2 linked regions of the Elephas maximus indicus genome follow. The protein of the gene in region 2 binds, or shares a complex with, the protein of the main gene of each other region. Links are inferred from orthologs where the notes say so. Each region holds a gene or a part of one and is shown on either strand. Other genes may lie near its edges.

Evidence for each region. The genes of interacting proteins can lie anywhere in the genome.
Region 1: the proteins of FBLIM1 (region 2) and FLNC are in contact, whole or in part, in an NMR structure (PDB 2K9U), measured with the Homo sapiens proteins. The link is inferred for Elephas maximus indicus from reciprocal best matches to the Homo sapiens genes FBLIM1 and FLNC. Residues at the interface, in NP_001337080.1 of Homo sapiens: Arg8, Val9, Ala10, Ser11, Ser12, Val13, Phe14, Ile15, Thr16, Leu17, Pro19; in NP_001449.3 of Homo sapiens: Thr2339, Ala2344, Gly2345, Gly2346, Leu2347, Ser2348, Ile2349, Ala2350, Val2351, Glu2352, Gly2353, Pro2354, Ser2355, Lys2356, Ile2359, Phe2361, Asp2380, Glu2382, Phe2387.

The regions. Positions count from the first base shown.
Region 1 is NC_064826.1:21,238,012-21,245,727, reverse strand, and holds the start of FLNC (filamin-C), read left to right. Parts: upstream 1-4,646; 5' UTR 4,647-4,840; coding exon 4,841-5,195; intron 5,196-7,716.
Region 2 is NC_064821.1:55,495,939-55,503,590, reverse strand, and holds the start of FBLIM1 (filamin-binding LIM protein 1), read right to left. Parts: upstream 3,025-7,652; 5' UTR 2,956-3,024; intron 2,908-2,955; exon of another isoform or gene 2,832-2,907; intron 1-2,831. UniProt on the Homo sapiens protein: Serves as an anchoring site for cell-ECM adhesion proteins and filamin-containing actin filaments. Is implicated in cell shape modulation (spreading) and motility.

The sequences.
Region 1 (7,716 bases), on a different chromosome or scaffold from region 2:
TCCACTGAACATAATTCAGTCAAGTTCCTTGCCACCTTATAAAAGCATCACCCTAAAAAAAGAAAAGCACCATCCTTCCTCCATTGTCCAATAACCTGTTCATCATTTCCTTTTAAGGTTTCACCAGAAGTACATTTAACATCCACATTTCTAGCAACATTTTGTTCATAGTGATTGAAGCTTTCTCTAGAGGATTCCTCATTTCTTCTGAGCCCTCATCAGAATTACCCGTAGTGTCCATAATTCTACCAACAGTCTCGTCAAGGCAGTCTAGGCTCTTCCTATGAGGCTCCGAATTTCTCCAGATTCTGTCCATTACCCAATTGCAAAACCATTTCCACATTTTAGGTATTTGTTGAAGCAGTACTCCCACTTACCAATACCAAATTCTGTTTTAGTTGTCCAGTGCTGCTGTAACAGAAATACCACAAGTGGGTGGTTTAAAAGGACAAAAATTTATTTCCTCATGGGTTAGGAAGCTACAAGTCCAAAATCAGGGCACCAGCTCTAGGGTAAGGGCCTCTCTCTGTCCACTTTGGAGGAAAATCCTTGTCTCAGCTTCTCTAGCCCCAGTGCTCTTTGGTTCCTTGGCCATCTCCAGGTGGCATCTATCTTTCCCCTGTTTGTGCTAGCTTCTCTCTGTGTCTAATCTGCTCTTTTTATATCTCAAAAGTCATTAGGTTTAAGACACATTCTACTCTGATATGGCCTCATTAACATAACAAAGAAAACCCTATTCCCAAAAGGAATTGTATCCATAGGTATCTGAGTTAAGATTCCAAAACATAGTTTAGGGGGACACAATCCAATCCATAACACAGAGTGTCGGCAGGAATGTGGCCCTGCCTTTCCCTACATATTTTTCCTTAGAATAGACCTCTTCTTTTTGGAACACTTGCCTTTATGTGAGCATAAGCCCCTCTCTGCTCATGTTAGAACCTCATACTCTTCACTTGGCTTGAACTTCATGCCTTCTGGTCTTGTTGATACACATTGTGTTGAATGTGGAACATTCCCTTGAGCCGGTTTAAGAAAAAAGGGGCGGGATTGATTTTAAGTCGACAGGGGTGCCTCTTAGAAGCCACAGGCAGGCATGTAGCCAGGCCTACAGGTACAGTTGGAACCAAGGACTCCAGACCCCTTCAGGAGCCCCAGTTTCTCACCTCTGCTGTCCCTGCATAATGCTTCCTTTCTTCTCTCTCCCTCAAGACCAGCCCCCTCTGTTTCCCTGGCTCCCCTCCCCCCTTCAATTGCACATGGAAGAGCACCCTGCCTGCCACTCCTGCCAAGGACCAGCTGTTCCTGAGGCCAGTGCACGGTTCTAGAGATCAGTTGTGCTGCTGGCTCTGACTCTGGCAGGTGGAGGGTTAGTACACAGATTCACTAGGGAAGGGAAGAGGTGAGCAGTGTGGGGATTCCGACAGTGGTCTCTACAGGGGCTGTAGAGACAGAGCTGTAAGGGAAGAATTCACCAGGACCCACTTGGTCCCCAAGATACCAGCAGGGGAAGCAAATGACTGTTTTGGAGCACTTACTATATGCCAGGCACTGTGCTAATCATTTTACATGGTATCTCCTTTTATCTTCACACATTAAAAAAAAAAAAGAAATCCCTATAAGAACATTATTAACTCCATTTTATAGATGAGAAAACTGAGTCCCAGACACATTACACTACCTGCCCCAGGCTACAGAGCCAGAAGTGGAGAGGCTGGAATTCAGCCTGTGGATCCTTCTACTCTGCCACACTGTCCCTGGTACCAGGCCCAGGGCCACAGTCAGTGTCATTGATTGGTCAAAGTGCTGGCTGTGAGCTTGGACAGCCCCTGGTTCCAAAAAAGCAGAATTTTCCAACATGGCACATTGGAGCCGCTTACTCAGATTCTACTCAGCCCAAGTTAAATATGGCCAATGTTGTGGCTGACGAGCAATGCCCCTTGATAGGAGAGGCAGGACAGGTGAAAAGCCTGGGCAACCTGGTCTCCTGAGGCAGGTCAGCAGGTAGTGAGTCAGGGTGTTATAAAAGGACTGTGGCAGCCAGCGCAGCCCCAAATTCTTAGCTGACGAAACCCCCTGTAAGTCCCTCTGAGTGCCCCTGCTGGCTGGGGGAGGAACAACACCGTTGGTCCTCCTCAGGGAGGTGGCCTCACTTGGCAGGCCCCAGAACTAGCATTGTGCACTGTCTGTTCAGGCCCACATGGCTGGGCCTGGGGCCTGGGCTCACGGGCTATATTGAGGTCTGAGTCACCAGCCTGTGCCTGGGTCAGGCTGACTGTGACTGGCTGGCTAAGGACTGAGTCAGGCCCCGATTTATCCTGGAGAGCAATGAGGCTCAGGTTTCGGGGGAGTGGAGTGAGAGTGGGTGACAGGAACAATCCCTTGGCACTCTGTATCCTCCTCTGCCACCATCCACTCAGTCCCCTGGGAAGGCACACTGGTCTCTCCTGGAGTAAGATAATGAGTCAGAGCGGGGAGAGTAATGGGAGATTATATGTGGGAATTCTCTCTCTACTCACTTGCTTCTCTCTGAACTTTCCTCATCTCCACGGAGGCCCCCAGTTGACAGGGGACCTCAGGGAATATTCAAACAACAGGAATATGAGCCCTTAGGGCTTGAAAAGGAGCTGTCAGCTTCAGGCAGCCCCTTCTTACCCCTTTCTTCCTCCCCAACAGCTCAGAGAGAGGAATCTAGCCTTTCTCAGATCTGTACCTCAGTTTCTCCATGAGGCCTTCAGAGCTCCTGGCTCCTCAGGTTTGGATGTCAGAAGTCCCCCCTTTTACACATGCACACAGTTCTCTGGAGAAACCCAGCTCTGCCCCCTGAGGAGCTGGGCATCTCTCCACAGGAGAGCTTAGCTTGTCAAGTAGATGTGGAACACCGGTGCCTGATGGGTGGTTTTGGCCATGGGACGAAGGTGGCTTGGGGGAAATGAGAGTTCTGGAGACGCGGAGAGGGTTAGCCAGCAGGAGAGTGGAATTCCTGAGTACCTCGTCACAGGCAGCCGACAGAACATGAGCCACAAGGCCCAAGCTATTTATACCTCTCCTGTCACTATCAGGGCCCCCAGAGCTCCCCACCCCCCAGCCATGTACAGCAGGGCCCTTTTCTGTTTCTGGTCCCTTCTCTACTTCTCCCTTTCATTAAATGAGGAGGCAATCTCATTAAATGAGGAGGACAAGAAATCACTCACGGACACTTTCAATCATACATACTGTCCCCCGTAAAGCCCTTGAACTTCTTTCTCAGCTCCATAAGCCGGACTGACCTCATTCTGCCCTTGGGGATAGAGACCCCAAAGATGCCCACAGTCCCCTTCCTTTTTGCTAGGCCTGGGGGAGGAGAGGAAAAGGGTAGAAAGATTCACCTATGAGGTCCCAGAACCTTCCAAAATCCTCTCCATTGTCATCACATGCCTTGAATTGGGAGCTACCTGGCTTGAAGAAACTGCTCCAGCTCAGACATGGCCTACTACCCAGCTCAGCTTGCTATTGGCGATGTGAGAGTTTGCCTACTTCTTGCACATCCTCTCATTGATACGCCACTCAAAACTTACTGGGTCTGGAAGGATAGGAAAGATGACCTAAAAGGGAGGCCAGGAGACACGGAATACATGTATGCTACAGAATTGCAGGATATAACTTTTCTTCATGTAAATATGTTCTATAGCTCTTTCTTCTCATTCCAGGCCAGCTCGTCTGTTCATGTGCCTCAGTTTCCCTGCCATCGCCACTCCCCAGGCCTCTATCTGCCCTTGGCTCACCCTGGTTGGCTCCCTGGGGTTCTCTGGGCCGACCAGCCCTAGTCACTGTTCCCTCTAGGCTGCTCTGGGCAGGGCTCTCCTTGTTTGTGTCTGGCTAACCCACCCCCTCTCTGGGAGGATCTGCCCAGTGGCCAAAGTGGGCACATTGCCCAGGGGGCTCCCTGGCACTAAGGGGGCACAGTCTGTCCCTCCCCTCTCCTCACACTGGTTGAGTCAGATGGGGGGGGCACATTGTGACTCACTTGGTACCTTTTTCCTGAGCTCAGCTTCATTCTGAGAGGATGAGGCTAAATGGGCTGGTGACAGGCTCACTGAGTCAGGGGCAGCAGCCTCAGTCTTCCCCTGAGACCCTGGGTTTGGGCCCCAAATGAGGCCTTTCCACCTGTAAAGTGGAGCAGTGAGGTCAGGTACCCGGCCCCCCAAGTCTTCTAATTGGCCTGTCCCAGCTTCCTCTCAGTCCATCTCCACACAAGCACACACACTTCCCTTCTCAGCCCACAGGTGGACAATACCCTGGGCTAGGAGCCAGGCCTCCCAGCGCCTGTCAACGGCCCTGCCTCCAACCCGTCCAGAAAACTGTCAAAATTCTCTACGTGTGTCACCTTAACCACTGGCCTCAGTTTCCCCATTTCTCTCTTTAGCCCTGGCGGGGTGTGACGGGAGCATAGTTCATTTCGGACGGTGCTTAGTTTGGGGTGTCGGGGTGCAGCCTTGCCGGCGCTCTCGGCCCCTGGCCCGCAGCCCCGGGCGGGGAGGGGACGGGGAGACGCCGTGGGGGAGGGGAGGAGGCGGGGCCGCCCCCCGCGGCCGGGCGGCATTCCTGGGAGGCCGGCGCTCTGACGTGGCTCGGGGGCCGCGGGCTTCTTAAACCCCCGGGCCCGGCCCGCCGCACTTCCCGAGCACCGCTCCGCCCTCGGAGGGAGAGAGAGACCCGAGCGAGGAGGCCCGCGAGCCGCCCGCCCAGAGAAGTTGCAGAGCGCGCAGCCCAGCCCGCGGTCGCGCCCCCAGCCCGCCGGCCCACCCGAACCCGGCCCGACCCACCCGAACCGGCCGCAGCCCCTGCCCGCCCGGCCGCCAGCATGATGAACAACAGCGGCTACTCGGAGCCCGCGGGCCTCGGCCTGGCCGACGAGGCGGACGAGATGCCGTCCACCGAGAAGGACCTGGCGGAGGACGCGCCGTGGAAGAAGATCCAGCAGAACACGTTCACGCGCTGGTGCAACGAGCATCTCAAGTGCGTGGGCAAGCGCCTCACCGACCTGCAGCGCGACCTCAGCGACGGGCTGCGGCTCATCGCGCTGCTCGAGGTGCTCAGCCAGAAGCGCATGTACCGCAAGTTCCACCCGCGCCCCAACTTCCGCCAGATGAAGCTGGAGAACGTGTCCGTGGCCCTCGAGTTCCTGGAGCGCGAGCACATCAAGCTCGTGTCCATCGGTCAGTGCGGGCGGCGAGGGCACGGCGGGGGGACACGGCGGGGAGGTGTGTGTGTGGCGCGGAGCTGTCCCCCGGGCAGGGGGCACAGGAGCTGGTGGGCGCGGGGAGCAGAGACCTGGGGCAGGGCGGCTGGCAGGGAAATGCCTCTGCCCCGTCTCCCTCACCCTCCCGCTCAGGCCGCTGCGTTCAGGACTCTCAGGACCCTGGGCACCCGCGGCGTTCCCAGCCCTCCAGCACCATACACTCCCACCGACCTGCCTCTATTCATTATCCCTTTCCTTCCTTTGGGCGACTGGGACCCCCCCCCCTTCCCCGGCAAACAAAGCAGGTGGCCTCCCAGCACCTCCACGGGAAGGCGGGGACTGCAGACGGGTCCCCATCAGTGCCCAGATCCACGGGCTCTGAGGCGAGGGGGAGCTGGTGGGCGGCAGGATGTCGTCCAGGCCCACTTCGGGCTTGTGCTCAGCTCAGGTCTCAGGCCCGGGGCCAGGGCAGGCAGGGCCCTGCCTCAAACACCTAAAAAGGCACTGAGCACTGAACAGCGCCGGGAGCTTTAACCCCTGCCTGGCCTCCTCCTGCCCTGGCCCAGGGAGCCGGCTCCAGCCTTGGCCGGCCCCAGCCCATCCCGAAGCTGGGGATTGGCTGCAGCTAACGGTCTGGCCCGGGGAGGGAGGGGAGGCCTGTAAAAGGAGGGAGTCCTTGAGTGTAACCAGATTTGGAAGGTGTGTTGGGACGGGATGGGGGTGGGGAGGTACTCTAAGCTTGGCAGCAGAGAAGTCTAGGGTGGGTTTTGAGTGGCAAGTAGCGCCCCCTGTCCTCCCAGCCCTACAGTCATTTGAGTAGGCCAGGGTCCCGGGAAAGACCCTCACTCCCGGGGTAAACTCTTAAGAGTTCTGCTGTGAATTACATGAAGGGGCCCCATATGGGGCTCCATGTGGGCTTCCCAATGGGCCGGCCAGGTAGCCTAGAACCCCCCACGACTGCCTCAGAGACACCCCCAGATAATGGACTGTCTGTCCACCCCCACTGTCCCTCAGGGCCATCTCTGGTCCTCCTGAATTAGCAGCTGAGGTCAGTTTGGGGCCCTTTGCCCTGTCCAGTCCCCTCCCTTGGCCTTACCCCTCCTGCCCAAATACTGGCCCCCCCCCCCCAGCCCTCACCCCACCGCCTGCTCCAGCCTGGAAATAGCCCTGCCTCCGTGACACAGCAGATGTCTCTGAGCTTTCCAGAAGGACAAGCCTGAGGGCAGGCATGGGGGAGGGGGCTCTGGTGTGTAGTGAGGGGGTGTGGGGGGCTGCAGACTACATGACCGAGTGTGGAGGGAGAGTCAGAGCCTGGCCAGCCCCTGTCACCCCTGCATGCTGAAATTTGAGAGGCAGGACTGACTATCCCAGGTGGGGTCTCCCGGGACAGACAGGCTAGGAAGCCTCTCCACCTCCCTCCCCACTGGTCCCTCTCCAGGCCTCATCCTTCCGGACTGCACCTCTCCCTCCCCCAGAGCGGTGCCTGGCCCCTGGCCCCTTGGCTCTGAGCTGAAGGGGGAGAAGTGAAGGCTGGTCTAGGGGCAGGAGGGAAGCTCCTCCGTCCAGTTGAGAGGAAGGGGAGCTGGTCCCCATTTAGTAGGCCAAGTGGCTCCCTCGAGCTGATGAGATAAGCTGTCAGCAATTCAGCTGCTGGGGCTAAGGCTGGCAGGGAGGGGCCTGCTACAGGGGTGGTAGCCCGAGGTGTGAGGGAACAACCCATGGGAAGTCTGCTTCCCCTGGTTCCCCTCTTCTCATGTTTGGGGGGAAGGGGCTGTTCTGGGGGCCTCTGCCCCAGGCATGGTCTCAGACTGAAGGTGAGCATCTGGGCACCTGAGTGGGGGGCCCTTCTTGGAGAAGAGAAGCTGGGGCCAAGGGGGAGCTGGGAGTGGAGACAGCTACCCGAGGAGAGGTGCTTAGCCTGAGTTGGGGGAGCTCTGGCCCTTTGTGCCCCCTTACCCCGCCCAGGTCCCCTACTGCCCCCTCAGCCCCTCGGAACAAAGAGGCCTATGAGGCAACTCTGTCCCGCAGCTGTTCCCCAGTTGCTATTCCTTCTCCTTGAGCCAACAGCCGAAGGAGGGGCTGGAGGGGGCAGCAGCTGTCCCAGCACCTCCCTCGGCCCAGCCCTCTCTCCTCCTCCCCCTCCACTTGAGGCCTGGGGGCAGGGGCGGCTCAGGGACTGGCTTCTGGCTCCTCCCGCTCCTTTGGGGGTATCCCTAGGCAGGCGAGAAGAGGGCTTGGGGGAGTTATGAGGGAGGAAGCCTGGCTAGAGCTGAGCTCCCCTCCCCAGGCCTCCAAGGGGAAGGAGGGAGAGGAAGGTCACAGCTTCCAGAGTGGGACTCGGCCCCGGCCGCAGTCCCTCCCCCGCCCCAAGCCATGGACCACTTGCTGTCTGGCCCTGGGCCAGTTGCTGGGGAGAAACCTCGCTCTCCAGCAAGTATGAATGATCACCCCACACATCCCCTCCCAGCCCCCAGCAGTCTCAAGGTCTCCCTCCCTCC
Region 2 (7,652 bases):
TCTGGTGTGATCTTTCTAGAGCATAAATCTGTCTGTTTCACCTCTACCCAAAAGCCTTCCATTGCTCCCTACTACCATCAGAATAAAGCCCGAATTCCTCTGGCCTCAGCCTCTTTTTGACCACCCTAGACCACTCACTCTTCCTCGATGGTGCCTTTCTCCCTTACTTACCTTTGAGTGTTTCTGCCACCTGTTTTCCCTTTCCCACTCCCACAGGGTGAATTTTCGGCTAATCCTTAGAGGCCCAGGAGCTTATCACCTCCTCCATGAAGGCTCCCCTGATCCCTGACCTCCCCAGGGAGGTCAGTTGTCTGCCTCCACAGGGTGATGACAGCCCTGTCACACGACATGCTGGCTCACTCTCCACGTGTCTGCCCTCTCCCCCTGACAGTGTGTGCCTTCAGCTGTGTCTGCAGAGTCCAGCTCACAATGCAGGCACCAAATCATAGATGTGGGGGCAGGGTGGCTCACAGTGAGGGTCAGGGGAAGGCCATTTGCCATCTCTCAGGTGGTTTCTGCAGACAGTAGTGTGCGACCAAGGCCGAGCCTTGGGATGGGGTGAGTCAGTCACACCAGCTTAGGAGCTTCCCCAGGCACCCAAGGCTTGTGCCCTGGGATAACACTATGCCCTTTTTCTACCTCCCCCTTTCGGGCTATGCCACCCTGACATGGCCCCAAAGGACCCTAATGGTGGACCTGGAGTCCAACTGCCAGTCATGGGCCTCTTTCAAAGTTCACCAGCCCTCGTGGGCTCTCTTTGGTGACTACAAGATTACAATAATAAAAACAACAATGGCACTCACTGATAAGAATACTTGCTGTGTGCCAGGCACTGTGCTGAGTGCTTTACATGCCTCAAAGCTCACCTAATTCCCAACACAGCTATTTTACAGTGTAAGCCCCAAGACATTAAGTCATTGGTCCCAGCCATCGATGGCAGACCCGGAATTCTAACAGAGCACCATCCGACCACAGGGTCCAGGGAATGACCGCGGAGACACACTACGTCTTCCTCAGACATGCTTTTTCTTCCCTGAATGTCACTAACCCACTGCCGTCTGCGTCGCTAGGGCCCCCAAATTCTCAGCCTGTTCTCGCCCCAGAATGATCCAAACCAGAGCAAAAATCCTGTGGTGAGCACATTCTGGGCTGTCTCCAGAGACTGCTGGGGACCTTCAGGATGCCCTTTCACGTCCTTCTCGCCCTGCTCTGACCCCTATCCCCCAGCCCACCCGCTCTGGGAAGTTGAGTCGCCTGCTTTCTTGGAAGACTCCGGGGGTAAATGTTCCAGTCCTGGAGCCAGATGTGCACAGCTGGGCAGCCCCCTGCCCCCTCCCTTCTAGTGGTTACTGCTGGGACTCCAGGCCCCAAGGGAAGGGCCTGAGCTGGGTGGGGCTTTTCAAAGCCCTGTAAGGCCCCAGGAGGGGATGGGAGGCCCAGCTTCCTTTTGGCCCACTGCCTCCCTGATCACCCTAGAGGGAGTAAGTTCCCTGTGGGGCAGCCTCCCAGCCAGCAGGGCCCAGGGGATCCTCCATCCCTAACCTTCCTCTCCCTGAAGGTGAATCTAAGACCCAGTTGGGTAAGCAAAGAAAGTGGGAACAAAGGGAGGGAGAGTCATTTCCTGTTAAGAGGAAGGAAGGAGGCTGTGATCCAGCCAGCCACCCAGCCTACAGCCCCGGGGCCGAGGACAGACTGGCTGGTAGGGGGGCGCTTCAGGCAGAGCCCCCTCCCTCTGCTGTCCGCCTTCCTCCCAGCGCCCAGAACCACCTCTAAGCTTTGTTCTTTAGCACCCTCACAAAGTAGCCTGTGTTTGGGTCCTGAATTAAACTTTGCTGGGGGTGGGGGTGGGACTGTGCCCCCCCCCATTTGGAGCCTATAGCCCTGGTTAGGGGTTCCTGTTCCCTCTCTCCCACCCCAGAGAAGCACTCAGAGCTGGGTTCACACTGTGCCCACCTCTTTCTTGCTCGGTGACCCTGAGCAGGTCACTGGCCCTCTCTGGTCCTTGTTTTTTTTTTCATAAAATGAGAATAAAGGGGTCTGTCTTGAATAGTGGCTAAGAGGATAAATGGAGTGAGTGATCGAGATATTGGTGCTTGGTAGGTGCGAAGGAGGACAGCTGGTTATTCAGACCTCAAGGGCCTGGGGCGGGGTGGAGGGTTTCTGGGCTCTGCTGGAGGTCCCAGAGAACTGGGACCTGGTTTCCACCATTATTAAGAGCAGGAATGTAGCCGCTGCCCCAGCCTCTTCCTGGGGTCCTCAGATTTGGGATGCGGGAGGATCGAAGTGAAGATCACCCCAAGGGGACACACCTTAGGGGCCGCCCAATCCCTCGTCTCCCCAGCCCCCGACGGGGATCCGAGGCCCGAGAGGGGCTGCCCTGGGCCCCTTCCCCCCTTCGCCTGACCCCAGCTGGGAAGAGGGGCCCGGAGTCCTTGGAGCTCCAGAAAGCCCGGCGGCCTCCCGCAGGCGGCGGGGCAGGGCGGCTGGCCGGGTCGCTGTGGGGCGCCGGCCAGGGACTTTAATTCGATCCATGTGCGGGACGCTGGCTCTTTGTGCGGGAGCTTCCGCCCTGCGCGCCCCTTTCCTGGCGCCGGCTCCTGGGCAGGGACACGACCCTCCCCGCCGTGAGCCCTCCCCCAAACCTGCGCCCCCCTCCCCCACTCCGGGGACAGAGACCGAAGGGCAGAGACGGAAGGCCCCCTCCTGGAGCGCCGGGGCTGGGGTCCCGGCTGGAGGGGAGGTGGGCTCCTGCCAAGGGCTGCCCGCGCTGTCACCTGTGTGTGGCGGGGCAGGGACGGGACGGAGGACGGATCCCCCCCCCACCCGCTTACCTGGGCCGCCGCGCCCGGGGCTCTGCTCCGACGCCCCAGCCGGCGAAACCAGCCGCCGCACTCCCGCCCCGCCGCCTCCCCGCCCCTCGCTCCCTCCGCCCCCCGCCCCGCGCCGCCGCCTTACCATAAAAGGTGACGCTGTGGGGAGGGGGTCTGGGATCCCCGCCGGGCGGAAGCGGCCCCCACCTGCCCGGCCGCGCCCGCACCGCCCCCTCCCCCTCCCCCCTCCCCCTCCCTTTGTTCCCTCCACCACTCCTCCCTTCCCCCTCGGCCCAGGCCTGGGGGGCAGGAGACCTTCCCTGTGGCCAACCCCCCAAGTCCTTTGTGGACCCTGAGGGGTTGTTACTCCACTCTCCCCTCCCCCAGGTCACCTGGATCGCGGCCCGACCTGTTCTGTCAGATGGAGGTGGGTGCTTATATCCCTGGTTTGGGCTGGGGTTTCCCAGGGTCAGGAGGGTCAGGAGGATCTGGGTTGTATGGCTTCCCACTAACGGTGTGACGCTGGCAGTCACTCTACCTCCCTGAGCCTCAGTTTCCTCATCTGTAAAATGGAGATAACAGCCTGCCTCTCCAGGTAGGCCTGAGGGTAAAAGGTGATATAGACAGCAAGGAGTGATGTATGTTGGGCTTTGGGCTTTTTCAGGGGTGTTGGGGGGGGCTGCGGGGGGGTCTCTGAGATCCCCAGTGGAGCAAGTCACCTTGGTTTGCTGTCCTGTGCCCCTTAAGCCTTTTACATGTGGGCCCCAGTGGCCTGAGGGACAGGCCTCTCCAGGAGGGACGCCTCACCCAGCGCCGCGGGCCTGGGAGACAGGGCTCAGCTGGCAATCAGGTCACCTGGTTTGCCACGCCTGGGCCTGTCACTGATGTCCTCCCTCCTGCCCCCTGAATTTGTCCCCCTCCAGGCTGGAGTAGATAAGACATGGAGAGGGGAGGGGCCAGAGATGGAGCTGGGATGGGCCGCCTGGGTCCCCAGAGGCCTCAGGAACATTGCTGGGAAAAGGAATCTGGGTCTGATTCAGAGGCAGATTGTTCCTTTGATTAAAGCCACAGTGGCTGAAGCCATCTGTGGGGAGGCCAGGCAGGGCTGGCTTTCCCCTGCGGGCTCTGCAGGGACAGTCAGCACCCCCAGGATAGCTCTGGGGCTGCTCTGAGGGACTCACTCCTGGGGGCTAAGACGGGTACCTAGACACCCTATCCCATGCTCTCTTCCTTTACCTTCCTAGATCCCTCACCCACTGCTTGTGACCCCCTCCGTTGTTCCCCTTCTCATCCCCTTTTTTCATTTGATCTTCACAGCCGCTGCCCAATAACAACAGCAGTAATTGTTGCTACTTGCCACAGACTCGATTTCTACTCATGGCGACCCCTTGTGTTCAGAGTAGAACTGCTACATAGAGTTTTCAAGGCTGTGTGACCTTTCGGAAGCAAATTGTGGGGCATGTCTCCTGAGGCGCCTCTGAGTGGGTTCAAACTGCCAGCCTTTGGACTGGTAGTTAAGGGCTTAACTGTTTAGGCCACCCAGGGTTTCCAAACAGCAGTAATAGTAGCTGTCATGTATAGGGCTTCTTCTGTGCTGGTGGGTCACCTACAGTGCCTCTTTTACACTGAATCCCCATGAGAGCCTTGTGCGGGAGAACTGATCAGTCCTGAGTCACAAATGAGGACACTGAGGCCCTGAGAGACTCAAGGCCACACGAAGGGCTAGTGGCGGAGCAGGATTCAACCTCAGACCAGTGGGTATCACTGCTGTGCTAGCCCTAGGGCTGGGCAGGACTGCCACCCTTTACAGAGGTTTGGAGACGGGACTAGAGTTCTACCCGCAGAGTGAGACACGGACTTCAGGCTGCTTGGGCTCAGTCCCTTAGAGTGGCAACTGTGCGCCCACTTAGCAGCACTCTTTGGAGTGAGCTTCGTATGCCCTCCACAGGAAAAAGGAGGGAGCCACTCAGTGCCAGAGCTGAAAAGGCCTTCAGGGGGAAGGGCACCATCCAGGGGTTTTCAGACACTTTTGGCCATAGAACCCCCTTTTCCAGTGATTTGACCCAGAAAACTTATTTCAAACAGATAAAAATGGAGCTGCCATCTTTCACCCCGACAGTATCCCCTGAGCTACCTCACTGCACCCCAGGTGGGGACACGGAGGCACAGAAAGGTTGGTTTTCTGGGGGCCTTATCCAAGGTCACACAGTCTAGAATGCAGGCCTCCCAACATCCAGACTGAGCTTGGCTTGAGAGGGTCTCAGGGTGCTGCAGGGGCCCAGACGCCACCACTCTCCTGCCGTCCTGCCCCCGGCTGCCTATCCCACCTCCCCTGCTGCTCCTGGGTGGAGAGGAGCGTCCTGCCAAGGGTCTCCTGTACCAGCTCGGGTGTTGGGTGTTGGTGTCACTGATCGGCAGGTGCCAAGGTTCCTGCAATGGAAACCCAGGAAGTGGGCTGGGCGAGAACACACGCCCTTTGTCTGCCAGCTCAGAGTCCTGCTCCCTGCCTCCCTCCCTGCCAGGCTCAGACCAGCTTTCTTCTCCCTCAGATGGCCTGGTGGGCCAGGGGGGCCAGTCCTCTATTAGGGTTGTGGCAGGTGAGACCCCAGGTGGCAGGAACGGGGTAGGGGAGAGGTTTGGGGACAAGATCGAGGGCAGTGGGATTTTTTTCTCCCCAAGACTGCTGGGGAGGAGGGCACCGCTTGCCCACAGAGGGTGGTTGGTGCTGACTCAACAAACATTGGTCAGGTACCTATTATGTGCTGGACACAAGTTGAGGAGCCAGTGGGGGTCAAGTCCTGTCCTCACCATACTTGCAGGGGGTGGAGGAGACGGACATGCAAAGCAAGTTAATACCACTAACTACCAAGAGTAAAACGTGCTATGAAGGAACAGAAGAGGCTGAGACAGAATAAGGGGTGAGGGGCTGCTCAGGGAAGGCCTCTCTGAGGAGATGACGTTTAAGCTGAGATGAGGAAGAGCCAGGCATGAGAGGAATGTTGTTAGTTGCCATCAAGTTGGCTTCGACTCATGGCAACCCTATGTACAACAGAACAAAATATTGCCCAGTCCTGTGCCACCCTCATGATTGCTCGAGTCCGCTGTTATAGCCACCGTGTATTTTGAGTTCCTTCTAACCTTATTCCAGTGCTATAAAAAAAAATTTTTTTTTTTTTCAGGCAATATTCTGTTGTAATTCATAGGCTCATTGCCAGGCCTTTCTTCCTACTCTTTCTTAGACTGGAAGTGCCACTAAAATCTGTCCTCCATGGATGACCCTCCTGGGATTCGAAATACTGGTAGCATAGCTTTTGGCATCACAGCAACATGCAAGGCACCACGACAATACAATAAACTGACAGACGGGGGTGGATGAGAAGAACAGAGGCAAACGTTCCAGGGAGAAGGAGCAATGGGGAAAATCTGGGCTTTGGGGTCAGACTTAGGCTTAATGCCCAGCTCTCTGGTGCTGTCTGTGTGACCTTGGACAAGACTCCCCCTCCAAGGCTCTGTTTCTTCACCTGTAAAGTAGGGGAGCTGGACTGGATGCCCTCGAATGGGGACATGAAGATTCCATCTGCAGGACTGTTAGGGACAAAGGCACTGAAGGGGCCTGGCCTATAGTTAAAAAATAGTTAGTGCCCACAAATTGAAGCAGTTGTTATTCTCGCATCACTCTCTCCTGGTTTCCAGAGCTCTCTGCTCACACAGTCCGCACTCTCCTCTCCAAGAATCAAGACTAGCCTGGGGAGATCCGGGTGAAGGTGTCCGCTAGCCTGTGGTCATGCAATTTTTCTCCCAGGCTCCCTGAGCTGCAGCCCCCGTGAGGGACCTGGAGGGAAGCATCTGCCTAGCTGCCCCTCCCCTTGGCAGGCTCCCCTCTGGCCAGGTCAGAGCAGAGCTACCCTGCGCCAGCCTGGGGGTGCCGGCTGCGCAGCTGCATGAGGTTACACTGCAGAGTGGGGTGTCCACCCTTGGCAAACAGCCTCCGAAGACCCCGGGCCTCCCCTCCCAGGGGCTCCCCCCCGTCCTTCGTTCATCCTCCAGTCTGCCTGCTTGGAGTCAGGTCAGTTGAACACCTATTTCCCAAGTTCCTAGTGTGTGTCAGGTCTCATGGTAGGGGCTGGCAGGGGTGCAGCAGTACAGAGAAGTGAGAGGTCATCGCACAGGCGCAGGGGTGGGGGACAGTCACAGATATGAGTAACATCAGTGTCTGTGAGGGGTTCCACTCTGCTGGCCTGTTACCTTGGGCAAGTCACTTCTCTTTGAGCCTCAGCTTCCTCTTGCAACCTGTGGGTAGCAGTACCTCCTTTGTGGCTTTGTTATAAGGACTTGATGGGATAAATGTGGATAAAAATGCCTAGTGCTTAGTAGGTGTCCAGAAATGAACTCCTTCCTTTTTCCCACCACATAGAGGATAGAGGTTTCGGAACATTACAGTGAGGTGGGCAAAGTGCTGAAGGTGAGGAAGAAACTTGGTCCCGCTGGAGAATCTAAGGGGCGTCCATGGTTCCTGCCAGCTCACCATCACCCCCTCCCTTGCTTTTGGTAACAGCACCAAATTTCTGTTTGGGGAGCCCTACCCCCTCAACTCTCAATGCCTGGGGTTGCTGCACCTCCTGGTTCTAGGGATGCATATATGACCCAGGCCTGACCAATCATGGTGGCTGTTGGTTTTGAGATGAGCACCAGACCCAATCTCAGTCCTGGTTCTGTGCTGCAACTATTTGGAAAGAGGCCATATTTTTCCAGCCAAGCTTTTCCAGCTGTTAGCTGGTAGGATGCAAACTTGGCACCACCATCTTACCACCATTTGAACCAACACAGAAGACAATAGAGCAA